Linked DNA regions of Oreochromis niloticus. The protein of the gene in region 1 purifies or fractionates together with the protein of each later gene. This does not show direct contact. Links are inferred from orthologs where the notes say so. Each region holds a gene or a part of one and is shown in the gene's direction. Other genes may lie near its edges.

Region 1 (7,194 bases):
TCTGTTCTTTAGGACATATTTTTATACATCTGTGGATTATTTAAAGACAGTGGAAGTAGGTTTACTGCACTTTTTCCATACATTTCCATTTGGAAATTAATATCCAACATTGTTTTTTTTATGGATTCTTAAGGAAAAAAACAGGCGATATAAGTCGGGACGCCACAGGCAAGTTTTTTTTTACATGATCAGCTCATGACCATGTCTTCTTTTAGAAAGATAACATCCAAAACATACATTCAGCTGTTTATTTTACTACTCTTTGTCTTTTTGCACATGCACAAATTAGTTTATAGTTATTGTGATATTCTCATTTCCACATTTGCATATTTTTTTTAAACCAATCAGAAAAGGTTTCCAGTAAATATGTATGTAATGTCATATTTAAAGGCCGTTTGTTGTGGGGGGGGGGTTTACAGTTTTTATGGAAAAGTTTGTTCACATATTATTCAAAGCCTGCAATATACTGTGTAACACTCAATGTTCAGATTTATGTTCTGGAATTGTATTCAGATAAGCTTATATTTAGAAATGTAGGCTTTATAATGCATATTTAAATGTATGTTAAAGTATTTGTCTTGATATACACCACTGTGCAAGCGTCTTGAGTGACCACTCATTTCTTAATATTTCCCTTTCATGGAGCCAGACTTTGTTGTATTTTATAAGCTTAATATATAAGTTTTTTTCTGGACATTGGCTGCTTTTTCATTCATTTTCAGTCCAGTTCTTGTACCTGAACATTTTCAAACGACTCTTTTGTTGTTTGTTAAGCCACTTAGCTTTGACATATGATTCACTTAAGCATTTTTTTGAAAGTACGTAACACAAGGGCTGAACCAGTGTTGTGTCCAAACATAACAGCAAACCCCTAAGAGGAGTGACCGCCTATTCTTCAAAGAAAACTCAAGCATGAAGGTGATCATTCTAAATTATGACTTTGACGCTCATTAGAATTGTAAAAACTCTGTTTTGACCTTAAATCCTGTATTTCCATCTATTTTGAAACTAAAACTATTGAACTTTAATTCAGTTTCTCACTTCACACAATCGTTTCATTATTGCCTTGAAGTTTTACTTTTAATTTAATTTAATTATTTTTTATGACACATGTTCTCTGGTGAGTTCAGTTACATCTGTAACTTCAGCTGGAAGAGTTGAGAGTTCAAATTTCCTATAATACCAAAAACAGACAAACTACTGATGTTTTTGTAGAATAACCTGTCTGACATGAGGGATAATATAGCATTTTCATTTTAACCAAAAGAAAGGGCTCTAAATTCGCCTTTGGCTGCATGTGTCTTTTATCTTATTCTTTTTCATTAACAATGTACTGACACTAAGGGCACATTTTTAGAAATCTCTGTAATTCCACAGAAAGGTTAGCCACTTTAGTGTTTCACTTGTGACCTATGAAATACCTCAAAATGACCTCCTACCCCCTGCACCCTTTGAACAGCCCATTAAAGCGGCAATGTAGTTGAATAATCTAGTGATATAAGATATTTCTCTCTTTAAAAGGGCCCCGTGTTTATGCACCAGTTCTGCAGAGGCGGTTTATTGCCCGATCAAAGCACGTTGCTCTTTTATGAACACCACGACTCCTGAGTTATGAAATCCCATAAACATCACTTGAATTAGTTTGAACACTGCTTTGTGATATTTTTATGTTTTATATGTTAAGAGAAAAACGTGTATGTGATGGCTGCAAACAAACCGAAAAGTTCATAATCAATAAGAGGAAAGCTTTTTTTTTTTTTTTAGATATTTTTCCCAGAATTTACATTTTTATGCTGTTGGTTTGTTTTTTAAATTACTATAAACTCGCTAATGCTGATAGAGTGACTTCACTTCATTTCACTTATTCTTTTTTGTATCATATTAAACAACAACAACACTGGAGGACTTTAAAGACTTTAATTTTTTCCAAGGTTTGAGAGCGCTCACCCCGGCTCGGGGCTCCACAGATGTGATGGATGAGGGCTCCTTGCTGCAGACTGCAGCGGAGTGTTTGACAGTCAAACATGAAACAGTTTTTGGAACTGAAACGGTCTCTGCTAACATGAACACACACCCCAAACAGTTCGGTAAATATGTACAGTTTCTCTCAGCTTCAGTTTTCAGCAGCTACCAGAACTTGGGACACCCCCAAAGCTGGCGCAGTTTTCTCCCGTTGAGCCTGCGCGTACTGGCGAGCGAGAGCGCTCCGGCTCGTGGCTCCAGATGTGATGGATGAGGGCTCCTTGCTGCAGATTGTAGCGGAGTGTTTGACAGTCAAACATGAAACAGTCTTTGGAACTGAAACGGTCTCTGCCAACATGAACACATACCCCAAACAGTTCGGTAAATATGTACAGTTTCTCGCAGTTTTCAACAGCTACCAGAACTTGGCCCCTGTCTCCATCCTCCCAGCCGCCTCCCACTTCATCTGCGGGCAGTACCTGCGTGTGTGAGCGCTGTCACCGGTGGCTTCGCAGATAGGGCAGGTGTAGTTCCGGAGGATGGGGCAGAAAACTTTCCCGTCGTCTGATTTGAGCTTGTGAGATCGGTACACCCTCGGAGTCTCCCCGTTCTGCTTGCAGAAGCGGCAGTAGTCCGAGGATGACGCGCTGCTGCTGGTGTCCGACGCGCTGCTGGTCGGACTGGACTGCGATGAGTTTTTGGAGGATTTCTTCCCCCGAGTGGAAGTGTGGACCTTACTCCAGGGGGGCGCTTGTCCCTTCTTTGGACGCTCGGTGTCTCGGTTTTCAACCTCACGGTTGCTGCACAGTCTCTCGAACACTTGGCTCAGATTCATGTAGTCCTGCCACATGTTAAAGCAGTCCCCACCGGGGAGGATCGAGCTCTGGACCTCCAGTCGTCTCGGCATTGTGGTCATTTTTTGGCAGAAGTCAAAGGGAGGGTGTGTTTGGAGCGCCTCATATTTATAGCTCACTGAAGTTGGTTTTAAAATGTAACAATGTTTGGATCCTATAGATTGCATGCAGCCTGACGACGTTTTTTGGAGGCAGAGAGAGAGAAAAAAGAACTTTGGTGCAGGTGCAGTCTTTTATGTAGCTTTCTGGTGACCTTAGGACCTCTTAAGAACCTTTACGAAGCCAGTTGACAGGCCTTTAATCGAATGATCGGTTGGTTGATTGATAACAGAAAAATGACGCATAAGCTGGACATAAAGGACTGAAAACACCAAGAGCAAAATATTGCATCGCATTCATTTTTTGTAGTTTATGTTTAGATTAGATAATTTCGCAAAATAACGCAGCAAAATAAATAATAAGAGCCGGGATGTGGAGACTATTTAGCACTGAAAACGCTACGTCCAGGTGAACAGAATCAACTTTCTGGGATTACCTTACCTGGATGATTGAATATGTATCAAGACTATTTAACAATAAGCTTACTTTAAAGGCTCGTAATAGGTGAACTGTTTTGGTATAGTTGGGTCACGCAAAGTTCATGCATTTCTTTTTTTCTGTCGCAGTGCGTTGGCCTTTATCCTCTCATCCCCTCTCGCTCTTTCTCTCACACACAAACACGCGCGCGCACACAGTGTTTAATTGTATGAAGATAGATAGATAGATAGATAGATAGATAGATAGATAGATTAAATTCAAAGTGAATTATGTGATTTAATCTGTTAAGTTCAAATCTCTCTTCTTTCCCTTAGTTTTGCATGTATTTGCGTTTTTTTTCTTTTTTCCCTTTCTTTTCTTATTTTGTCACTTGTTTACAGTTTTATTATTATTCGTACTTCTAATGTGCTCGTATCTGATGGTGCTGATGCTCGTGGGCCGTGTGTGTGTCTGAGGATGATGATGGTCCATGTTGTGTTACTTGTTGTTTGTGTGTGTGTCCCCCGATGACCCCTGGCGCCGGAGCGTCTAGACTACATTAGAGAAGTGTCGCATCCAAGAGCCGCACCTGCACTTATAGAGAGCACATACATAGAGGTGAGTGATGAGGATAAATGGATAGATGGATTTTCGAAGAGCGCACAGTTGTATTTCCTGCACAATCACACACGTAGTGAGGCTGTGTGTATGCCGGTTATACCATGAATGTAACCCTGCAGCCACCGCTTGTTTGTCAAACTGTTTATGAAGCAAACGTCGCATTTCTGTTAATTTACAAAGCAAAAAGAAGAGGGGGGGAAAAAGAGGCGTAGGAGGGGGCGGAGCTTAGATACGTGCGGGGGAGTTGTGGGTCGTTTGCGTTTAGTTGGACGCATGCGCACTAGTATACCGGCGACGGCTGTTCAAACGGTGGCCTAGCGAATAAGGGGATTACGGAGCCCAATCTGACAGGTTAGATAACGAAAAACGTTTACATTTTAGCTGTGTATGTGTGGCAGCGATTCATAATGAGAAGTTAAATGAATTCTTACTGTCTCAGACGGTGGTCTGTCGTTTGCGCTAAAGTTAATGTAATGGATTTTGGTACTAAGCTAACGTTAGCTACAGCAGTTAGCCGCTGGCTGCCAGCTAGCTTTCGATAGTAGAGGAGGCTAAGAGCGGCGTTGACATTAGCCAGCTGACCAAGTGTACCCTCCCGGGGGACTTGTGCTTTTGGGTTTTCCTTGTGCTTGTCCGAGTTGTGAGTTGACAACGGAAGTACTGGACCCCGATCAGTAGGTGGTAAAATGATGCTTTCTTTTCACGCAGCATCAAGGCACGGGAAGCTAATAGGCTAGCTGCTATCCTTACATGACCCTGTTTGTTGAACAATCTTTTTTGAGAGGAATGATGCACACCGGTAGCTATGCCAGCGTTGGCTACGTTAGTTGGTGTCTGTCTTGCTAGTCTTTGCAGTACAGTTGGTGGTGTTTAATAAAAAAAAATATGAAAAAAAAACAGGAGGGTTTGTTGTTTCTCATTTGGGAACTTTGAAAGATTTGCTCCAAAGCATATCCAAATAATAGACTTCTGACTCTTCTCAGGCTGCACAATGAGTCAGGGCAAGGACAATGCACGCCTCAAAAGCTACAAGAATAAGTCTCTCAACACAGATGAGATGAGAAGGAGGAGGGAAGAGGAAGGCCTGCAGCTCCGTAAACAGAAGAAGGATGAGCAAGTAAGCAATGTGTTATACTGTACAACTAAAACCGTCATAATGATCCTGAAATTACATACTGCCAGTGTTTGGAGTAAACTTGAGGCCATGCTTTGTTTGCAGCAATTTAGTGTTGGAAGGGAAATGCCTATTTGTACTTCTGTTGCAGCTTTTTAAGAGGAGAAATGTCGCCACTGTGGAGGATGATGGCACCCTGGACGAGGATGGGATGGCTGATAGCGGCTATCTGGAGTCCCAGGCCAACAACATGGACCCACTCATGGTGAGAAGGCATTCATATGTCTGCTCTGTCACACATACACGCCTTTCTGGTAATCAGATGGCATCTAAACATGTTGGTTTTATGTCTAAATGATTACTTGGGTCATTTTTCTGTAAAACTCATGGAGGCTGTAGAGGAGCTTTTCTGTGTCATGTTCAAAACAACACAAATTTTAATGTATGCAGTGACATTGACACATAGCAAACCACACAAATAGCATGTTGAATCTTTCGTACACAGTGCAGTGTGTTTCTCGCCTCACCAGACCACAATGTTGTATGCAAAGTTACATTTTAGCACACAAACTGTAATTTGCATAAATTCCTCTGTGATGCATTTAGTTCTAATCAGTTAGGGCACTGTCTGTAAGCATGTTAGTAACTGTAATTTGCATAAATTCCTCTGTGATGCATTTAGTTCTAATCAGTTAGGGCACTGTCTCTAAGCATGTTTAAGATAAGATAAGATAAGATAAGATAACCTTTATTAGTCCCACATGTGGGAAATTTGTTTTGTCACAGCAGGAAGTGGACAGTGCAAAAGTTATGAAGCAAAAATTAGAATAAAATAAAATAAGAATAAATACAGTACACAACTGTACAGAATAGAATAAAATAAAATACTATATACAGTAGAATAAAATAGAATAAAATATACAATAAGATAAAAATAGAATACAAATGCTATATACAACTGAGTAAAAAATACAACGATGCCAGGAAGATTATTGCACTTAGTGTTATTGCACATGTGAGGAGTGAGCTACAGCTTTCTCAGCACCACTGAGCAGACTCCCTGCTCCAAGTGGCAAAAATGAAAATGAAACATTCAAAAGTGTGGTTACCCCCCCCCCCCCCCCCCCCCCCCCCGAGTTTCGTCAACTGACAAAACTCATTGTACCAAGAAGATTCCTGATATCCAGGCATATGAGATGTCATCACTCACTGCACACATCAAGTCAGCTGTTACAGCAATTCATATGTGTTATATAAAATCCCCATTGTTGTGCCACACAGGGTGGGGTGATCTCTGAAGACATGATTCAGATGATTTTCTCCAGCTCTCCTGAGCAGCAGCTAATAGGTACTCAGCGCTTTAGGAAACTACTTTCTAAAGGTAAGTGGGGCCCTAGCTTTGCCCATTACAGCCACTCCTGTCTTTGTATTTGTTTCAGTATGTCTTACAAGGGAAAGATGATAACTGATTGAGGCCCAATGCAAGGACAAAAGCATTTTTTTGAGCTGCATAATCTGCCACTCTATCTCACAGTTTACCGCTGCCAAAGCATTCCTGCTAAAATTCATAACTACACAATATCAGAGTGGCCGGAGTGAATGTTACATGGGGTGTAATGCTGTTAAGTATGCCTGTATTAATTGTTGCCACGTCACCTCACACGCAGAACCCAACCCACCTATTGATGAAGTCATTGCCACTCCAGGGGTGGTGGAGCGCTTTGTTGAGTTCCTGAAAAGAAGAGAAAACTGCACATTGCAGGTACGTTTTCCTAGAAAACTAATATTAGATTTTATTTGAAGCTTGTAGATTTTTGTTTTTGTTTTTTCTCCCTCATGTTTGTTTGCAACGTGTTCTTCCTGTTTCACCATCATATCTGAAAGGTTGCATGTGTTGTGAGTTCAGTGCACTAACTTTCTTCATATGTTTTGAATATGATTGTAGTTTGAGGCTGCGTGGGTATTGACCAACATTGCTTCAGGTACATCTCACCAGACACGGGTGGTAATCCAGGCAGGAGCTGTGCCCATATTCATAGAGATGCTCAGCTCGGATTTTGAGGACGTACAGGAACAGGTGAGGAGGCTTCATTTTTACCTTTCCTGGTGTTCACTGACCTCTGGCAG
Region 2 (7,807 bases), on another chromosome or scaffold:
ACATGTTGGGCATCGCTGTTTTACTACCCCCAGCATTCGTCTGCGTATAAAACTCAAAAGTAAAATATTTTGTCTTTCCACCTCAGAATCCAAACTCGCCAAGAAGATCCAAATCATTCAAGCATAAGAACAGTAAGTGAAAATAAGATTTTAACTTCCTGCTTGAGTTTGTCTGTATGTAATCAGCTCTTAAAACAGTGCAGCTTTGCTATATGCTGTCATATGTATACTATTAGTTAAATTACCCACAGATCACTTTATAATAGTGGATACCAGAGTGAATCAGCATGTAGAATCATTTTCACATTACAGTATATTTATAAAAAAAAAAGTTTTATTCTGTCCTTATATTGGTCTGGCTGGAGGTATTATGTTTCCAGGTTACGCCTATCTGTCAGTACAGTCCATACTGTAGTGGTTTACAAATTCGCCTAACAAATGAGAAATCCTCAGCCCGATTGCAGGAGGAGACACAAATCCCTTTGAGGTTGCATCAAAAAGAAAAAAGAAATCTGCCAAGCCAAGCATACAGAGCTGCCCGCTGTGGCGACCCTTTATAAATAAGGGAGCAGCCAAAAGTAGCTCCTTCTTCCACCTGTATGCTCACGAAAGTGATTTCAAGGGCAAAATTACACAAGAATTCCTCCTTTAGACACAACATGCCCTAATAATCTATGTCTAATAGAATGAAATGAAGTGGTGAATTTTATTGTCCCAAATGTCAAGGACGTGTTAACGTCAGCTGATTTTATTAGCCACTATTAATGAGCGTAATTCAACAGGAAACCATAACCATATATTTGGTCACATAATGAAGTGTTAAAGGTGTTTGGCTTCAGACTGTGGTGGCTATAAAGGTATCCTGTTTTGCTTTCTCTATATTTGTCACATCCATGACTTTATAAGATTTCTACCACACCAAAGTATGCGGTAGAACGTTTTGTTCTGTAGAATTCAGAAAGTTCACAGTGTAGCAACATAAGGTTTTTCTCCCTTGATCTGTCAGTTAAACCTTTGTTTATGGTAAATGGACTGGTTCTCTACTCTGAGCATTCAAAGCGCTTTATACAACTTGTACATTCACCCAATCACACCCAAGCACTTTTTCTAAGCTGTTAAGTGCTCCCTATCTAACATTCATACACATTCACACTCTGATGGGTGTTGTAGGGAACTATGTTGGGTTAGTATCTTGCCCGAGGATATTTGGCATGCAGACTGGAGCAGACTGGGATCAAACCACCAACCTTCCAGTTAGCAGCTGACCTGCTCTAGCACCTGAGCTACAGCTACCCCCAGTCTACAACTAAAAAGACATATTAAAAAAAACTTACAAATTTCTGCTAGCATATTATAAAAATTATTCAAAATACTCTTACTGGCCACTTTATTAGATACATCTTTCTTGTGCTGGGTTGGAACCCCATTTGTGCACAGAACTGCCCTCATGTTTCATGGCACAGGTTCAACGCACTGCTGGAAACATTCCTCAGAGATTCTGGTCCACATTGATATCGGCCAAAGTGTGCCAAGAAGATATTTCCCACACTCTTACACTGACACCAGAAGTCTGAACAGTTGAGACAAGGCAGAATGGATCAATGCTTTCTTGTTTTTTTTACGCATGTTGCAGCAAAAACTAAGCCTCATCATACCAGGCAATGCTTTTCCAACCTTTTATTGTCCAAATTTGGTCAGGAAATGTGTCTTAGGTTCCTGTTCTTAGCTGACAGGAAGGGCATCCGCTGTGGTCTTCTGCCACTGTGTCCTGTCTGCTTCGAGGCTAAACATGTGCGTTCAGAGATGCTCTTCTGCGAACCTTAACTGTATTGTGGTTATTAGCATACTCCAGATGTCTGGCGTCAATGAGGCATTTTCACCCATACGACTGCTGCTCATTAGATATTTTCTGTTTTCTTTAAACCGCACTTAAATCGTCTTTTTTCCCTATTCTGAGGCTCAATTTTAATTTCAGCTGGCTGTCTTGAGCATCTCTACATATCTAAATGCATGTAGTTGCTGCCATGTGATTGGCTGGTTAGATATCTGCCTTAATGAGCAGTTGAACATGTACCTAATAAATTGTCTGGTGCACATATAATTTAGAACCAGTAATAGTGTAGTGATTGAGACACTAAACACCAGTTGAAATCAATTATGTGTCTGGATTGAAGCATGAATAAATAAATGGCGCGTCTGTTCCTCTAGGCATGATGGGTCCCAGACGTCGCATGGACAACCAGGAGAGCCCGCGCATGCTGATGAAAGATGAGGCATTCTCACAATAACACAAACACAAACATTCTCTCACTATCATGTGTGCGGAGATGCACACAGAGACACGCTCACGGGATGACCAACAACACTTCACCTTTGGTTCTTTATGTTGTGAAATGAATGGACGTTGATGGTTAAAGGCAACGTTTGTGGTGTTTGCTGCTCTGCAGAAGCAGTCCAGAGCTCCCAACCTTATACTTGACAAATTTATTTTTATTCAGAAAATCATTGTACCAACACTTGTTTTGTTTTGTTTTTTGTTTTGTTTTTTAAAAAGAAAATTTTCTGTAGTTATCATTTTCGACTGATACTTTTCACCAAATATGATTTCACTGCACAGATGTAAACTTTGGTGTAATTCATTCAGAGACGGTGTATGCTTACAGTATTATTTTGTTTCTTTTCATAAAATACAGAAATGATTACACAGTGGATGTCCTTATATTACCTCACATTTTACAATCTCAATCTTTGAAAAAAAAATAATAATGTCAAAGACAATCATTGCTAATGGTTTGTCTTTTATTTTCACCTTTCACTGTCTGAATTTCTCAAACAGAATTAAAAGACAAGCATCTGTCGTTCACCTGTGGAAACTTGTTTCACAATGTTCAGGACATGAACTCCTGAAGTGTAGAAGCAGGTATTTGGTGCAGAAAGCAGGTTTCTTCATTTTTCTTTTTTTTTTTGGTGGATAGAGTTGCTTGTTTTCTAGCATTGAAATATGTCTTTGTATCATGTGTTTACATTGTAAAGGGTTACATATGTCCTTGGTGTGATGTGATAGTGTAAATATTCTAATAGTTGAATTGCTGCTATCATGGCTCAGTTTGTTTCATCTGTCTAGCAAAATAAATGATTTGTTATCTGTCCTGTGTTTTCACATTCATTTTAACAAAAGTGTGAATGTATAAAACAGCAACCAAGTACATAGAATTAATGTCTTACCGACCAACAGGGGGTGCTGTTGATCAGATGATGTACACATGCTTCTGTTGCTGGATGTGGGCCTAAATATTGCCTTGGTTAGTGTGGTTATAGGTCATTTTCTTAGAAAACTGTCATGTTGTAAACACAGCCGTGTTCATACAGTTCAAGCTTCTTATTCAGAGTTTATTGTACCAAGGGGGAGCTGATAATGTTTTTGTGTAGCCTTCCTAAACTCTGCAGTACAGGCATTAATGTAGCCCATAGGTTAAAAGATTTTGATGAGCAATAGTTCTCAAGGCTTTCTGAAAGTCTTTCCAAGTTTTTCTTTGGACGTGGGCTGCTTTTTCACTCCTATTCATATTCAGTCAATGTACCTGACCATTTTCAGGAGAATGTTTTGTTTTTTTTTCTTTAAATTCAAGCATAAAAGGGGGCATTTAACTCAAGGGAGGAAGTAGTTTTATTTCTGCACATACCAGATAACTTAGCACAGGACCAGTTTTAAAGTGGCACTTTTTTAGACAAAAAAATCCAAAGATAACACAGTTTGAGTGTGTTATAGCAACAAGCTGATTTCTAAAGAGCTACTAGCTGAAGACTTGGAATAATTTGGTATTGTGTGCAAGAATTTGGAGAAACTTGACAAATAGAGGATAAAAAAAATGCCAAGCCTAAAACAAATATCTACAACAGATGAACAGTAAACAGAAAAAATCCACAAAAACTGACAGAGGATCTATGTACTGTTTACTGAAGACTCATCAGAAATAGCCTCAGTGGAAGGTTGGCTATCAACAAGCCATTATTAAGGAAGGGAAATGGGGAGAAATGGCTGAGGTATGCAAAACTTCACAAGAATTGGACTCTACAGAGGACGTCAGGGTAGAGGGTAGAACAGTGGGTGTCTACAGTCATCTGTATAATATGGTGGAGGCTCTCTGGAGGTTTGGGGCTGTGTTTCAGTCAATGGTGTAGGGGATCTTTTAAAAATGAATGGGAAAGTAGCGTCATATTTAGATCCACCATGCAATGCAATCTGAAAAGTGTCTGACTGGCAGTGACATAATTTTTTAGCAGGAAGGTGATCCCAAACAAAGAAGAGCTTTGAATGTCCCCTAAGAAGACTGGAGAACTATTCCTGAAGAGTATTTAAGCTTGCTTAAGAGAGTTCGTGTTGTGCTGATGAATAAATGTAGTCATACCAAATATTGGCTTTCAAGCTCCCTAAAATTGTACAGCCTCCGTTTTTCTTTTATCCTGTATTTCCCTGTATGTTTCTATACGTTTCAACACTTCTAGATTCAGCACATTACTGTTTAAGAAAAATTAGTGTTCAGGAGGCAGAGTATTACTCCAGGATTTGGTTTGGAAGAAACAAAATTACACTATTACAAAATCTATCGCAAGTTTCTGTATGTCACATTTGAAATCAAGCGTTGAAAATAAAATATAATTGAAAATATATACTTTTACAAAATACACAAGAAATAAAGACTTCAGACTAGCATGTGTTTTAACGTGTTCAAAAAGAAAAAAAAAATCGAGATTATTGCGCGCTGAAATTTGGAACTTCCTAATTTCCGATGTTTGTGAACGCAACATGTAGTTGAGCGTACTTGGTTTTGCTTTAGAGTGCAGACAAACTATCTGCTCAAGATACTCAGTTTGTCATAAGTCAGACGTTATCATGTTTTTAATTCGCCTCACAGTGTATTAGCTTTTAGTTATCGTTTATCTGGCGTCGTTCAGTCGTAAAGGCGCGAGTGGGAGATGACAAGAGCTCCCACTTGGCGTGTTCACAAAACGAGCAGTCACTAGGTAGAAGCAAATCCCGGAACTTGAAACGGTAGGAAGTGAGCTAACGTTAGCTAGCTTTTTGTTGACAGTGTGCTTGCTGTCAAACCAGAAACCGACCTAAGCAGAAGTACCCGGAGTTAGTTAGCTACCTACTTGGAGACTTCAGCCTGCCGCACTTTTATTTGGGCCGAATTTGGTTTGAAGTTTCCGTCACTTTTAACCACTTGTGGCTCTAGAAGATGGCATCGAGGGGAAGCTTCACTGGTCCTCCGATGAATTCGAGTATGAGCCCCATGAATGTTGGGCATGCCGCGGGCATGAGGATGCAAGGAATGCCCCAGCCTCCGGGGGGATATCCCAGAAGCATGAGCAGCGTTCCCCAATACCCCCAGGTTGGTTCTGCTTGATTTCTCCGTGTCAAATAAAGAAACTGAGTGAAAGGTGAGGGTGACGGTATTTGTCCGATCACCCCCATGTCTTTTTAAGCCTTTCGTTACTTTGGAGCCTTAAATTGGTGTTTAAATAAAATTATCTAATTGAAATACTCACCCGAGAGACATGGAAATAAAAAAAAAAACCCCATAAAGCTCATTATTCTTCATATATATCACCGTGTGGACACTACTTCCGCCTTCGAAGTGGGTGTAATTATTTATTGATTACCGCAATCATTAAGTGTAACCTTTTTTCTTTTATGGCATTTGAAGTGGTACATAAAAGTAGTGGGACGTTTAATTCAAATTGATATCGTTTAGCGTTTTGTGCGCGTGTGAAAAAGAAAATCACGTGGTTGCCCGCTTCGCCTCCTGTCAGTTAGCGTGAAAGCAAAAGTTTATCAGCCCCATCTGCCCAGAGGCAAGCCTGCATACATCGTGCCAGTATTGTCACCATCTGCAGCTTCTCCCGTAGTTAACAGACACCATCGCAGTTACCCCCGTTTTGACAGTTGGAGCCATTTGGGTTTAGACTTTTTTTTAATGTTTACAAACTGGACAAAGTGTGAGAATTCTCACAATTTGTTGATACATTATTTACAGTACTGATGTGTTACATAAAAAGACATAATTAAAAAGAAAAAAAATCTAGTCAGTAACAGGTCTTAAAATAAATACACCCTCAGATGTGTAACAAAGCACAACACATCACACTGGGTTATTATTTATATAACAAAACCTGAGCCGAAATGCAGAAGCAGTGTGTGAAAAACTAAGCACGCCTCAAGATTCAGGAGCTTGTTCAACTGCTTTTAGCAGCAACAGTGTGAAGTAATCCTTTTCTGTATGACTTTATCAGCCCTTCACAGGAGGAATTTTGGTGCACTCTTCTTTACAACATTGCTTCAGTTCATTGGCATTTGCAGGCATTTGTTTATGTGCAGCTCTCTTAAGATCCTGCCAAAGCATTTTACGCGGGTTGAGGACTTTGATTGTGTGATTACACCACGTTGATTCTTTTCTTCTTGAGCTGTTCTGTTGTAGATTTGTTTGTGTGCTTGTGATCATTACACTCGAGTTTTAGCTGTCAAGTATATGGCCTCGCATTTGACTTCATCACCGCGCTTGACAGCTGGTATGAGGTGTTTGTGCTGTTATGCTGTGTTTAGTTTTCACCAAATGTAGTGCTGAGCATTATGGCCAAATATCCCCAGTTTGGTCTCACTTGTCCAAAGGACATTGCTCCAGAGGTTTTGTGGTTTGTTCAAATGTGAGAGCCTTTATTCTGGAAGCCCGTCCAAACAAGCCATACTTGTTTAGTTTTTTTCTAATTGTGCTGCCATGAACTTTAACATTTAGCATGCTAACTGAGGCCTGAGAAGTAGCTCTTGCAAAGTTTGAACTTGGAGTGAATTTACTGGGACGTTCACTCCTGGGAAGATTGGCAACTGTCTTGAATGCTTTCCATTTGTGGATAATAGTTCTCACTGTAGACAGATGGATTCATATTGTTTGGAAATTACCTTATAAGGCTTTCCAGATTGATGGGCAGCAGTTGCTTCTCAAGGACTATCGCTGATGTGTTCGTGTTAACACACCTGAATCCTCCAAACCAGCAAACTGTCAAAACCTCTGCTGTTACAGAGGTGTTCACACTTCCTGAAACTAATAAATTGATGAAGTGCATTAGCAGCATCTGGCTGTTACTTTACTGCTTCTGCATTTCTATTTATTTTTTTTGTTTAACAATAAATAAAAACACAGTGTAATATGTCATGTGTTGTATTTCATCCAAGGTTATATTTAGCAAATTTTAAAGCATGCTAAGAACCAGATTTCTTTTCATTATATCCTGATACGTGAAACCTTTAAGTTGAAAGAGGTTGTGCTTTGTGTAGATGGAGATAAAGACTGCAGTGCCATAACAGTTTTTATATGCACAACTTCATAATTAAACCATAGAACTTAAAAACTTAACCCCACCTGCAGAAACAGTGCATTTACGTTTTTGGCATGTTTTTAATGGGGCTATTATGACTCATAATATTTATGGTACAACCAAAAGCATACAGTGTAAGTGACTATACTGTATGTCACTGTGCACTCTTTTTACTCACCAGATCCAAAAAGCTAGAATTTGATATAAGTTGATCATACAATATGAAATTTATGTGCACACAGCTTAACACATCATTGGTTTTATTATTATTATTATTTTAAAATGGGTACTTTTTTCTGTCTCTTTAGTAAATCAGATCCTTGATTTCTTTTAGTCCTAAATGAAATATTCAACTTTTTGTGTAGATATGGAGAAATCGTTCCGTGAAATCAGTTTCCCTCTTTTTCTCTAGCGCCCCGGGATGCCATCC
Region 3 (6,872 bases), on another chromosome or scaffold:
AAGGTGGTCATACCAAATACTGACTTTGTAGCTCATTGAAAATTTAAAAACTGTCTTTCAAAATCCTTTTTTTGATTTTTCACTGAAAAGTAACATCCGATTCCTCCTTTATGCTAGTTTTTACTGCCTTGTATTTTAATTACATGATTAAAAAAACATTCTAAAAATATTTATAAAAAATTCAAGAGAAAATTAACAAAAATTGTCAGTAATATAGTTGCACAACATTTTTGTCTCCCACAGACATAAAGCAAATGCAGACTGGCAGAGACGCAACTGGATACATTAAACGGCCACTGAATGCTTTCATGGTGTGGGCTCACATACACCGCAAGGTCCTGCAGAAAACCATGACAAGAGCCAGTATTAAAAACATTAACATTCAGCTCGGGTTGGAGTGGTCCAAGCTTAGCAAGGAACAGCAGGAGCCATACTTTCAAGTGGCTCAGAAACTGAAAAACATCCATAGTCACCAATTTCCTGGTATGAAGCAAAAACCCTATATACATGATAGTAAACATTTATTGCAGAGTAAAGGTGGATCTGTTTTCCATTAACACTGACTCTTGTCTTTGTTTCATCATGCCAGATTACGAGTATCAACCCAGAAAGAGGATGCGCAGAGAAAATTTCACCCCAGTGAGGGAAGTTAGACAGGACGGGGGGCAGCACCAGTCTAGTGTTTCCTTCTTTTCCCCACAAGAAAAGACAACACTGTGTTCAGCTCAGCCCACGTGGCCGGTCCCCATCATATCTTCATTGGCCCCAGTGCACTATAATCCCTACTACCTACTACCTGTCCCCTATGTGTCCAGTCTAAGTTACCATATTGATTTAGCCAGGTAAAGAGAGAGAGACACTTTCATGACACAGAAAACTCAGACTTTTAAGTGCTACATAGCTCACAAACACATTAATCTTGCGGCAGTACACCAACAGCATAAACGTCACAGAGAGGTCCACAATTCAGTGACACCATTTATTGAGTTGAGAGCTCGGAGACACGTGGAAATCGTTAATCATGGCAGCAGGCCTGTCAATCAAAGCGACCATGCCTCTAACTCCTGTATCCTGAGTTATCAAAAAATTCCCACAAATCGATCCTTAAGCCAGTTTTTCTATAAGGCTGTAAATATGCTTTTTAATGTTGCTTAGTTGGATATTTTAACATGGCTGTCTATGGCCATCAACTTGCTTTTGGAAGCAACCCCTAGTTGCCACTAAAGGAAATGCATTTTTTTTTTTAACTTTTGCCCTCATTTTTCAGCACTATAGGCTTTGAACTTGATTAAGTCTTATATCAGTCAGGAGTTCCTATGTCAGGGAATTTATTTATTTTTAATCAACATATTGTACATTAGTGTTAAACCAAGCAGCCACAACAAAAGATGCATGGACAGATGAAGTTTGATGCCTGGCGTCTATCTGAATGTTACTTTGACATGTAGCAACTCCCCATAGCCCAACCTGATCAAGCACACTCACCCAAACCAGTCACCACTTTTACCATCCTAGCAAGAGACAATGGTAGTGTGTGTAAAAGCTGCTTGCAAACAAGCTGCATGCATCCTCAACTCACAGTTAGTGTTACTCATCCAGACACCCCAGGACACCCAGCAGGTCCGTTATCATTGCTCTGGACAGGTCAGGGCTCTTTTGGCAATAGATGGTGCATAAATGTAATATTAGTGCTTTAACAGAATGTAAAGTTTCTCATAGTAGGCAGCTACTGGACATTTTATTTCACTGTCACATTTTCTAATAATTACCTTTCCGTGTTTTTATATATGGCTTTTCTATATATGTCCAAATTCAAGGAGCTTCATGGAAGAAGGGAGGGATCACCACTGCATTTACCTGCAGACAGGCCAGATTGTTCCAGCCTTCCTCAGCGGGGAAACAGCACAGCAGCCTAACAGCACTCAGAAAGTCCTCAGTGGTTCATTCACATTAGAGAGCCACACACAGCCCAGCGTCATCACCAATCAGCAGCTGTCTTCAAACAGAAACGAGGCGAACAAATCTGAGGAGGACATTGATGTGGTTGGACTGCTCTAGGAGATGTTCAGCAAACACTGGCTGATTTGCATTTGAGCAAATCAAATATACATTTTTCATATATTAATAGTTTATTCATTTTAATTCTACTTTTTGTTTAGCTGTTGTCATGTATTTAGAGCAGTCCACAACACTAAAAGAAATTGTGCTTTTTCATTGCTACTGATGTAAACTAATGCCAGAAACACACAGGATGAATGATGTTGACTGCACACATGCTTCAAACAACAGTGTAATCTGCTGCAATTAGTAAATCAGCAATTCTTCTTGAAACATTTCATGTGCAATTTTATTTATATACCTATTTCATTACATGAACATAGAAGATAAAAACTACAATGTCTTAAGGCATTCCAAATAATAAAAGTAAAACCACTTTACAAAAAAATAATGTTAACAGTCACACAGGCAGCTTGTTCCAAAGAATGGGACCACAGTAACTGAAAGCCCTCTTGGCATACCTGGATGTGATTCTGGAAACAGTTAAAAGCTCTGCACACGATAGCCTGAGAAGTCTAATCAGGTTATAGACAATGATCAAATTAGAGATGTTGTGAGGGGAGCCAAACCACTGAAAGCTGCTTTATGAAGTAATAGAAGTATTTTAAAGGTAATTCTACATTGAGAGCCAGTGAAGTGGCTTCAGTATTGCAGTAATATGGTAAAATTTCTCTCTGTGTGTGTGTGTGTGTGTGTGTGTGTGTGTGTGTGTGTGTGTGTGTGTGTGTGTGTGTGTGTGTGTGTGTGTGTGTAAGGCCCACTGATGATTCGGGTGATCCTGCAAATAGAGCAATATAGTCATAACCTGATTGATATATTGTTTTATATGATTTCACAGTTTTTGAAAGTGCCTTGAGGCACCAAATCACAAAAGCATTTGCTTCAAGGTGCTCTATATTATAAGGTCAAGACCCTACAATAATACAGAGAAAACCACAACAATCAGACCCCTCTATGAGCAAGCACTTGGCAACAGTAAGAAAGAAAAACTCCCTTCTAACAGGAAGAAACCTCCAGCAGAAGCAGGATCAAGGAGGGGCAATCATCTTTCCTGACTGGTTTGGGATGTGTAGACCCAGAATTGACCCTTGAGAAACACCTGGTTTCATTCGGCAGCTCTAAAACTACTCACTGAAACATAAAAACCTTTACCCTTTAGGGTATGACGACAACCAGTCGAGAACCTGACCAACCTTAAACCAACCAAGCACTATATTGATCTTCAGGTCAGGTTGATAACTTTAGTAAGAGCTGTTTCTGGTTCTGAAACCTGATTGGCACTTATTAATACTGTGAGATGAAAGGTCTTCATTCAGTTATTTCTAAAAAAAAAATTTTGCTGAGCAAATAATGATAGGGCTGATAATTATTAATTACCAATGGATCCAATGGAGTGATAACAGCACATGTGAGACAAACAGGGAAAATCACTGGCCGTAAAAAGATGTTGATAATATTTACTAGTGATTTTAAGATGATATCATGCACTTGACTTTTAGGTTTGTGACTACATTTCAGAATGAAGGCCTTCCAGTAAGCGCAGGGCGTTTCCACTATATGGTGTACTGCCACTTCTTTTAAGTAGCGGAATGCCTTCTCAACAGGTGTAAATCAAACAAAACGCGGACACCAAAACACAAGTGGAGTATGTGCAAATCGCCAGTGATTAGAATCCGCCTTATTATCAACAGCACGGAGTACCGACTGAACAAAGACATCATGAAAAATGGGACCCAAACGGACCAATGAACACTTTACTGAACGTTCGCAAGAAAGACAATATCCAATCACAGTCCACGCAGCTCTAACTGTATCGTGACTGAGGTCCGCGCCTGGCGAATAGGAAAAGTAGTCACCGCTAAGGGGCGTTTCCAGGAAGAGAGCGGTTACATTTTCCTGTAATGGCGGACCAGGCAGAGAGCGAGACTATCGGGTTCAACGACAGCAGGTCAGATAACAGCGAGTAAAGCGTTAAAATGATTATTAACCGAGGGTAATATGAAGCATTTGCGGACATTTAATATGCAGCTAGTCTGCGTTGCTTTTGGTTCAATGGTGTTGATATGTGGCGCTCGTGCATGTCAATGTAGCCACGCCAGCTAACTAGCTTCCAGCTAACTAGCCCCCGTGTTGAAGAGCGGCTCGATTTCTGCTCTCCGCTCCCCGGCACGCGGTAAACATGGGCCAGACAGATTAAACAGACAGATGTTTACCTCTCACGGAAGGCCACCCGAATCACCAGGCTTTGTGCTTGGGCTCAAACGTGGCGGTTGTTATCAATTATAACCAGCTAGCAAAAATATGCTAAAGTGATTGGAAAGTAGCTGTTTTAAATAGACAGAAAAAAGGTTGATGTTAGCCCGATTATCACAAGACGACATTTGCTGAATGTTTGTGTTCATCTACGGCCAAGCGGGTATAACCCTGAAGGGTTCAGCATGTAGACATGAGGTAATATAAACACCACAGAGTCTGAATGGACAACCTGTCCACGTCACACCGTCTTCAAACAGCCTTGCATAGCAATTAAGTAAATTTACGCTAAATGATGTCCTTAAGTAGAATCCTAAGGTATTTGTAATAAGGAACATGAATCTGAGAGACATAGTTACACCAACCAGTCAGCTGGTTAGAAAAGCGAGCAGTATGTTTATGCATCAGTAATAACAGTTCACAAGTGCAGCATACAACAGAGCTCATGTTGGTGTCTGATGGGTACTTTAGCGATACACTGATTGTGAAGGCAAATTCATGATTAAAATGGCAGTTTAGGTGATGGGCAATGGCCCAGAGTTTATTTTTTATTTACTTATATATACTTGTTTATTTTTTGTGTCAGAGAACCAGAGAAATCTTTCATTTCTATCATAGCATCTTTGAACATTTAGCCAGCATTAAATTGTTGCGACGTAACACAAAACTTCTACTTCTTATTAGAGTGCTTTTAAGTTGTGCTATTGCTACTTTGACTTTGATAATAGGTCTGAGTACTTCTTCCGCTCCTGTTTGCTGGCCCATTTCTGCAGCAAGTCTCACATTAGTCAGCAGAAAGTGTTTGTATTCATTGCTAACCATTCCTGGCTTATACTGCAGCTTCCTCCATTGTAAAATTACAATGTTAAGATGTTAATATGATATTACCGATGTTATTACTTTTATAGTGTAATTTATTTTTGTATTGTGAAGGATAATTTGTCATTGTACTGTATATTTAATAATTAAGCTGATAATTGCTTTCTGCACTCTTTTCAAAGGCTTTATTTACAGTTTAGTGTCATGTTAGTATTTATCATAAGCTTTAACTATAACTTTTATTATGTTGTGCCAGAATGGCGCAGCAGGCGGTGCGGTTTCGTGGCCCTGCCCCTGCGCCTGCGCCTACACAGACCCCAGTGTTAAGAGGCCCACCACCACTCCTTAGGCCACCACCGCCTCCTTTTGGGATGATGAGGGGACCTCCGCCGCGACCTCCGTTTGCACGTCCACCCTTCGACCCCAGCATGCCACCAATCCCTCCACCAGGAGGGATGCCTCCACCTATTGGGCCTCCCCACCTACAGGTAACTGCCCCACATTCTTTTACAAGCATGGTTTTCATCATGGAAATGTTACCTTCTTGTGGTGTAGGGTTGTTAAAAAAATCAATACTCGATACTCATTTTCAACAATATTGATACCAACAGTCCTGTCTTTCCTTCCTTCATGACACACAACTTCACATGGCTCCTCCTGTCACAGCTGTAGTAGTTAACGTTCATAACACTGAACAACACTTTAAGAGGAATTTTTAAGGTTAGTAAAGCTCCTGTTTCAACAGCATGAAAGTATTAAATTCACTAGCTGGGACCACATCCTCGGTAATGATGAGGGATGAGGAAGTGTGAACTGGTGCTGCGGTTTGGGGAAGGCCTCGAAGGGGACTGGCGATGGCTCCCGAGCTGGGCAGATCCCCATGTACTAACAATAAATGAATGAAGGAAAGGAAGAGAGGGAAAAATGGGGGGGAAGGGTGGGGCATGAAAATGAGAACAGCAGGTATTGGAGAAGGGGGGCTTTTATAGCCTGAGGCTGGGGGGGCGTGAAGGAGGAGTGGTCCCGCTCCTGAAATTCAGATGATATCTCCACTAGATAAAAATGTTAACCCGACCAGTGCACACATTAACATTAGCTGTTTAACTATTGGCAGTTACCCAATAGCCTTGTTAGCTGTCTGTTATTAGTAACGTGTTGGCTAACGGACTGTAGTTAGAAAAAGGATGAATAATTATTGCAGGTTGAACGAGTGGCTGATCGAATACTTAGCCATGGCAGAGGTGGTTATGGAGAAACAGAAAACCTGGCAGGTTCCTGGCTGTACAGAGCAGGGAGTGAACCGTAGTTGAGCTAAGCAGAAAGGGAAATGTGGTGAACTAATCCGAGCAAATAAAGACTGAAATCTGGAGCAGGAATCAGGCGGTTTCAATTCTTAACGCAGAGGTGGGGAGGTGAAGATCTGCAGGCTGAGTTGGAGCAGTGTACATGCTGGATGAGAGCGAGGCTGCAGGCAGATGTGAACTAGATAATAAACTAACTTTTCTACTTTTACAATAATTTTTTAAAAATATGTTTCTTTATTTCATGTAGCCAGCTGTGAGGTCTTTCACAGTGAGTACAAGTTAACTTTTTTGAGATATGACGACTTCGCCATTTATTCTGGTGATGTAGGATGGGTTTAAAATCTTCCTCATGGTATCAGAAATGGTATCAAGTATTGTCATGGGTTTTGGTATCGAGTTTAAAATTCTTATATTGCGACAACCCTATTCTGGTGACGT
Region 4 (6,953 bases), on another chromosome or scaffold:
CCCAGAGTCTGCAGTCCCAGGAAGTGTCTGGCCAGCTTCATGAGCCAGAACACTCTCATCATCCTCAGGACCCGCAGTATGACTCCAGCAACCCCGAGCCCAGCACCTGGCATCCCTGCCCGGGCCATTGCCATAGTGACATAGTAGGGGGTGATGGCAATCACGTCGATGATGTTGAGTGGCCTGCGGAGGAAGTCCCACTTGTCTTTGGCCACCAGAAAGCGCACTATGCACTCTGCCGTGAACCAGCCAATACACACTGCCTCCACTATCCTACAGAGAAGATAGAAGAAAAATTAGTTGCACACACTGTAAACAGGAAATGACAGAGGAGGTACAGTGAGATATGGATGGCATGAAATATGAAATACTGCCTGGCAGTCAGTAAATGTGAGGAAGAAGGAAGCAAAGCAAGGGGAGTTAAATGATGGGAAATAAGGAACAAAGCTGTCGCAGTTCAGGCCTGGCACAAGTAAACAAAGACAGCAGGACAGATACACGGGCTAGTAAATTGCCGGGAAACTGCACAGAGGGAGGGTTTAAACCCTTCAAAGAAAGACTGTGTCAAAGACGGTCACGCAATTACCCCATTGACAAGCAGAGCAAGGCCAGTCAAAATGAATTAGAGAATGATGATTCTTGCATTAGATATAAATGCAGAGAAGCCCAGAAATTACTAAAATACCTGCAAAGCAACTATCAGAATAGTTACACCAACCCAAATTATGTAGCAACTGAGAGAACTGCATCATCTAATGACATGAAACTACATTGGAATCCTTTTGACCTCAGAGTATACAAGCCACTTGTAGTTGATTACTTAACCACTGTAGCTGATCCAAAACTCAAAACTATGTCCAGCCTGAGGGAGCATAACCTAACCTTATATAGAGAATGGCCAGCTCAGGCTTCCAGGAAAGTACAGGGCAAAATCACACAGACATAGAGATACACGTTTTCACCTTGCGCCTACATGCTTAAGTTAAAAAAAACAAAACTCTGACTTATGATGATTCCTGTAAGTGGCCTAATTTCTTTGTTTGCCTGCACTATTATATAATCCCCCCCAGTACACATTCTACTTTTATCTCATTGCCCACTCAAATATTATGAATCTATGATTACCTTATGTTTGCCCTTCATGTGCGCAATGCAGTGTAAACTAAGCAGGGCAGTAAACATATTCAGACTAACTGTGAAGAGGGTGGGAGAAATAAGAGGGGAAAGCTATGGATTGGTTATTGATTTGCTTCCTTGGGGGCCTGTCCGGCACAGGTGTAATGTGTCCGGCTAAGGTGTAATGTGCTGCCTGAAACTTGTCAGCGGGCATACTGACTTCAGGGGCATCAATTCAAGAAAGCACAAGAACAAATCCCCAGCAGCCAATGTAATACATGGATGTTTTAAATATCTTGCTTTGCTGTCATTCTTATTTTTATGTTATTATAGCAAACATCCTAGAAAACACTCAAAAAGCTGAGGTAGAAAACATCTCAATGCATCCACCTCCTGATTAATATTAGTGCGCAATGACTTTGGCCGTTGCCTTGAACGCATGCATGATCAAATGTTAAGAGGTATATTTATTTATTTATGCTACTTGTGATGACAGAATCAAATATTTGACACGATTCCATCTGTTCAGTTCACTTTTACGCAAGACAGTCTCAGTTGTAGGATATCCGCACACATTGCGCCTAAACATTTGGCAGCATTTTCATGAGGGGGCTTCTATTCCTTCAAGTTAACTGACCCTTGACTATCGCCTACCTGTGCTCCTCCACAGTAGTTCTCTTGGCTGTATCCCAATCCGGCAGGGTGCTAGCGCACAGCATAATCATAGAAACGATAACAAAGATCACGGACACTGAAGCCAAAAGCTGCGCTACAAGGGAAGAGTTGGGCTCCTCAAAAGCCTTGCGCATTTTCTCGAGCCACCTAGCGCGACATGTGAGCTCAGCCTCTTGCACTGACTCCCCTGGGCTCTGGGGCTCATCCTCGATGTCCCCCTCAGAGAGTGTGTCCAGTCCGATGTCGGACATCCTATCGTCCAGGCGTTTCTGGCAGCAGGAGTCCAAGTGCGCGCTCTCCAGTCCCCAGTAGAGCATCTCTGTGTAGAAGGACAGCTCACACACTCCGGGAACAAATCGGAGTTTGCCGGAGCGCACGTACAACATAATAAACACGAAAGCCTGAGCGTGGCGGTCGAAGAAAAACTCATTCCGGTCCCGATCGTAGTCATCGCAGAGTTCGAGGACCTCTTTCTCGGTTGCGCAGGCAATCAGGCGGCTGACGCGTCGAAGAGGGAAATCCCTGATCACCTCACGGGTGAAGGCGTACCGGGTTCCCCCGACGTTAAGCACGCAGATGCTCTTCCCGAACTTCATTTTGACAACTTAAATCCTCAAAGCCTAAGAGAACTCCTCTTCACAGTCCATTTTTCCTTCCATCGCAGGAGTTTGGGCACTTGGGGAACTCGTCTCCCCTGCCCCGGGGCGTGGTTCGCTTTGAGTGAAGGTGGCCCTGCGCTGAGGTCCGTGCCTGCTAAGTGGAAACTCTTCCCTCTGTCCCTGACTCTATTCTCCGTCTCCCTCTGTAGCCTGAAGAAGAGACTCATCCCCCCAGTCAGCTCCAGCCAATCCCATCAGTGATGTCACAAGCGCGCGCGCGCGGACGCACGCAGAGAAAAATCCATAAGCAACAGGAGTATAGAACGTAATATGTGATTTAAGTCCACAGTGGAGACTGCTTCTTCCTATAAAATACTGTTTAGATTCTTCTGGAAGCAGGTTGATGAGAAATTATCGTCAAACTTGATGAAAACCGGGGAGGAAAAGTCTTGTTTAAGAAAGCTTAATTACGTCTCACTGTAATATTCCCTGTTACACTGACAAAAAATAGATGTGAAGCTTGTGATTAATATGCCCGCACCATTATTAAAATGTAGACCATTTTATATCATTTAATTAAGCTAGATAGAGATACCTATATACACCAGCTCTGACTTGTGCAACAAAAGGTACATTATGTTAAGATAAGTATAATGGAAAAAAAAATAAATAGCAAGAGAAATATATGCACACACGTATAATTTATTAATGTTATTATTGTTAGTATTATCATTATATAAATAAAGCTTTTTTAGTATTATTTTTATTTTTTGTGCAGCTTTATTTATTTATCTATTTGTTTCGAACAAACATAAAGAACATAGTAATTATTTTAACTTAGCAATGCAAATATTCTATACCAGCTCATTTGATAGCAAAATATATATAAAAAAAATATCTACATCAATGTGTTAGCCGTGCGACAGACTGACGAACCAGGGTGTACCCTGCCTCTGCCTGCCTGATAAGGATAAGCGAAAGGGGATGGATGGATGGATGGATGGATGGATGGATGGATGTCTACATCAAGTATACAAAACATAATCATATACTGAATCTTCTTCTTCTTTCGGATATCGCCACAGCATTATCTGCCATCATCTCACTATGTCACTATTACACCAACCCTCTGCATATCTTTCTTCACTACAGCCATAAATCTTCTCTGAACTCTTTTTCTTTTACTACTGCCTGCCAGGTACATCTTTAACATCCTTTTCCTAATATATCACAGTATATCCCTCCAAGCTATCTAAGCCTTGCTTCTCTTACTTTAAAGTTATTAGAATTAGAAATGACGCCTTCTGTCCTCTCTGGTCAAGGTGGATCATGTAACGATGCATAAAAGAAAATAATAATAATGATAATAATAATGATAATAATAATAATAATAACACTGAGACTTCTTCATGTTCCTCTTAAGTTTTAGAGCCCTTTCTGATTTGTTAGGAATTTTAGAGAGACTCAGTTTCAATGATTAGATTAAAGTTTAAACTTTTGGCTTTACAGATATAAAAATTAAAAAAAAAAAAAAATGTACAAACTGCTTTCTTGGGTGTTTTCTGAGGTGGGCTGTAAGTGTCTGCGCGTGTGGGCCGCGTGTGGCTGTGCTGCGCGTGCGCGGGCCCCTCCAGCGTCAGCAGTGGTTTTTCGGGTTGATCCGACTTCTTTTGGCTGCCGTGAGTTAACTGTATCATAAAGGGTGCTGTGACTCGAAGGAGGAGGGGGGGGTTGAATTGCCACAATTCTCCCGATAGGTTACACATCCGGAGTTCCGACGATCTTAATTTGTCGCTCCTTTTCCCTTCAAAGAGAGTGACTTTTATTGTTTTTATTAATTTATTCCATTTCTCTTAGTTTATGGTTTGCACACTGGGAGGGCAGAAATGGCGGCCAACATGTACCGGGTCGGAGGTATGTATGTCAATGTGGATCTTTTTATCAAAGAGAAACCGTTACAGTTTTGCAGCTCCTGGGCGTTATTTTGTGGTATTTTGAGCCGTTTGCATTTAATGGTGGAGATGCGGATGTGGTACAGCAACGTGGACGCGTTAAGTTGAAGCAGGAAGGTGAGAGTTGGTGTATATTTGAGATTCAAAATGGGTCAGGCCTCGCGTCTGTCGTGGCCACAGCAGCTAGCAGACAGCTTGCTAAATGGTTAGCTGGCAATGTAAACATTTTTCACTTGTTTGCTGCTCTCCGGGTTTCTGAATTCTTAGACCACGGGATACAGGGGGCTTCTACACGGATAGACCTCACGACTAGACGTGTGTTTCAAAGGTTGTTAACATGCTACCACGGGCAGTCTGAGGCTGCCTTTGTATTTGCCACTCCTGGCATGCAGCCATTAGTACGAGACCTTATTTAGCTAACGTTAGCACCAGCGATGGCTTCACTGATTACCATTAATGCCGTCTCAGCGCTCGTTTGCTGCATTTAAGGATCGTATTTAACCGTCTCGGTAACATCAGGTGCTAAAGTGTTTTGCCAAAGTGACCACCTACAGTAACCACAAGTGCAATTAATTATCAAATAGGGATGCAGGCTGGCTGATTTGCTAGCTAGCTCGTTAGCAGTCTACTGGAATTCAACATCAAATTATTGTCTCCGCGCATGGCGTCGCTGTGTCTGCTTTTACACCTTTATTCACGCATACTTGAGCTTTAAATCCATACACAGACGGCCACGTAGCCTAATTGCATTAATGCTTGACATGCCACACAAACTATAGGCGTCTAATGACATGTCTTGCAACACTTTATAACCGGTATTTTCGAGGTGCATCAGTTTATTGTCCCCTCACGTCACCTTTAGTGCAACTTCTCCTGCCGCTTTCAGGTGCTCATTGTAAACTCCATGAACTTGTAGGTAGGACACACAAACTTCCAGGTGCATTCAAGTACAGTTTTCTCCCGCGATGGAACAAGTCTTGTTTTGCTGCTACATTGCAAACAAAATAGATGGGATATGTAGTTTATTAATTTATTTTCTTAAAAATTGATATATTTATTTTATAACAGCATTGCAAGACTGAGGTGCAGCACATTCCCGTCCCAGAGGCTAAGGGCTGTCATACACATTAGCATGATGATACATAGACTCTAATGACATGCATGAAGTCATATATATTTTGACAACCCTGACAAATATGCTGCTGCACCGTTTAAAAGTCTGGAACATGTGAATTGAAATATTACAGACTCTGTGTGAATGCAGCATTTGCCATGGACTGAAGTTGTGCAAAGTTGGTGGGCAAGCTTCTAATTTAAAAAAAAAAAAAATAGGGATATTGTTACATTTATTTTATTTGTCCCATTTGTTGGAACCTTGCAGTGTCGAGAAGACGCATAAGCTGGAGGAGAGACAGGGGGATTCAAACCAGTGCTTCTGCATTAGCCTTACGGCATATAGGTCATCTGCTCAAACCCAGAAAGCTATACTGGCATCTGGTGATGTTATTTATATGCATGGGGAATCTTTCTTTTAGAAAATGCTATATTGAAGTTTTTATTGTCTTTAATTTATTTTTTCATACAAACTGAAACAGTATGGTAACATATGGCTACAGTTTGAAAGACTATAATAATTTTGCACTTTTATTCGTCTATAACTTGGTTGTTGTTGACTAGAGATTTTTCCTTTTAACTTTTCTTGTGCAACACTTTCTGAAAGTCACAAGTTTCCACATTTATTGATTAAAGGATATGCATATCTATTGATTTGACCTACTGTAGTGCCAATGTATTAGTTCATGCGGTGTATATATTTAAATATAAGATGTGCGTGTTTCCTGTTGCAGATTACGTATTCTTTGAGAACTCCTCCAGTAACCCTTACCTGATCCGTCGGATAGAAGAACTCAATAAGGTACTGATGTGTGCGTTTTTCATTTTCATGTGTGGTTATGTTAGAGAATTCCTTGAATTCCTCTCTGCTCCTGTCCCCACCCCATCGCTTTCCCATTGTTTGTGTGGATTTTGTGACGTTGTTTGTAATATGGCTTGAAAAGACAGGTGTTCCCTGATCTACCAACTGTCATTAGTATGACTTGACACACCTGTGTGTGTGTGTGTGTGTGTGTGGGTGGAGTGATTATTATCAACATTTCACAAGCTCATGTAGCTTTGGGCTAAAGATGCAGATTTATTTTAATTATAAGCTGATACCAACCTTCAACAGCAGTGTTGTTGGTCTCTCTTTTTTTCTCTCAGCATTTTACCGTAATTCCCATTTTATTTTGTTCGAAATCCTTCACAAGCATCGTTAATAGGTGTGTAAAAGCTTTTCCTGTGTCATGCTTGCACTGAGATATTCTGATAAATGCAGGTCATTATCAGATTGTGTGGGTGGAATAATGCCAGATCACATCATTATCATCCTGAAAGAGCGTACTGAGGCTCAATGTTATAATCTAAAGACAGGAGACATCGTAATTATCATAAATGATGAAGTAACAGGAAGTCCCTGCAGCATGATACCATTTAATAAAGCTGTGCTTCTGCAAATACAAGCTGTATGAAGCTCATCATGTTGGTAAAGGTGAAATGGAGTGCTTGATCAAGC

Evidence for each region.
Region 2: the proteins of kpna1 (region 1) and smarcd2 purify together in Homo sapiens (affinity purification with mass spectrometry; 3 studies listed by BioGRID and IntAct, with this or other methods). This does not show direct contact. The link is inferred for Oreochromis niloticus from reciprocal best matches to the Homo sapiens genes KPNA1 and SMARCD2.
Region 3: the proteins of kpna1 (region 1) and tcerg1b purify together in Homo sapiens (co-immunoprecipitation; 3 studies listed by BioGRID and IntAct, with this or other methods). This does not show direct contact. The link is inferred for Oreochromis niloticus from reciprocal best matches to the Homo sapiens genes KPNA1 and TCERG1.
Region 4: the proteins of kpna1 (region 1) and mta3 purify together in Homo sapiens (affinity purification with mass spectrometry; 3 studies listed by BioGRID and IntAct, with this or other methods). This does not show direct contact. The link is inferred for Oreochromis niloticus from reciprocal best matches to the Homo sapiens genes KPNA1 and MTA3.

Annotation. Positions count from the first base shown.
Region 1 is NC_031974.2:18,423,217-18,430,410, forward strand, and holds the start of kpna1 (importin subunit alpha-5), read left to right. Parts: upstream 1-4,188; 5' UTR 4,189-4,304; intron 4,305-4,936; 5' UTR 4,937-4,944; coding exon 4,945-5,070; intron 5,071-5,218; coding exon 5,219-5,332; intron 5,333-6,348; coding exon 6,349-6,448; intron 6,449-6,734; coding exon 6,735-6,829; intron 6,830-7,012; coding exon 7,013-7,144; intron 7,145-7,194. Other genes in the region: nanos2 (nanos homolog 1), read right to left, coding at 2,378-2,983. UniProt on the Homo sapiens protein: Functions in nuclear protein import as an adapter protein for nuclear receptor KPNB1. Binds specifically and directly to substrates containing either a simple or bipartite NLS motif.
Region 2 is NC_031973.2:15,815,138-15,822,944, reverse strand, and holds the start of smarcd2 (SWI/SNF-related matrix-associated actin-dependent regulator of chromatin subfamily D member 2), read left to right. Parts: upstream 1-4,799; 5' UTR 4,800-5,243; coding exon 5,244-5,396; intron 5,397-7,789; coding exon 7,790-7,807. Other genes in the region: atxn7l3b (ataxin-7-like protein 3), read left to right, coding at 87-132, 2,209-2,288. UniProt on the Homo sapiens protein: Involved in transcriptional activation and repression of select genes by chromatin remodeling (alteration of DNA-nucleosome topology).
Region 3 is NC_031975.2:18,538,917-18,545,788, forward strand, and holds the start of tcerg1b (transcription elongation regulator 1), read left to right. Parts: upstream 1-3,863; 5' UTR 3,864-3,959; coding exon 3,960-4,006; intron 4,007-5,386; coding exon 5,387-5,618; intron 5,619-6,872. Other genes in the region: sox30 (lymphoid enhancer-binding factor 1), read left to right, coding at 244-483, 590-842, 1,818-2,058. UniProt on the Homo sapiens protein: Transcription factor that binds RNA polymerase II and inhibits the elongation of transcripts from target promoters. Regulates transcription elongation in a TATA box-dependent manner.
Region 4 is NC_031973.2:10,590,062-10,597,014, reverse strand, and holds the start of mta3 (metastasis-associated protein MTA3), read left to right. Parts: upstream 1-3,951; 5' UTR 3,952-4,069; intron 4,070-4,075; exon of another isoform or gene 4,076-4,247; 5' UTR 4,248-4,276; coding exon 4,277-4,304; intron 4,305-6,189; coding exon 6,190-6,257; intron 6,258-6,953. Other genes in the region: kcng3 (potassium voltage-gated channel subfamily G member 3), read right to left, coding at 1-273, 1,771-2,387. UniProt on the Homo sapiens protein: Acts as a component of the histone deacetylase NuRD complex which participates in the remodeling of chromatin.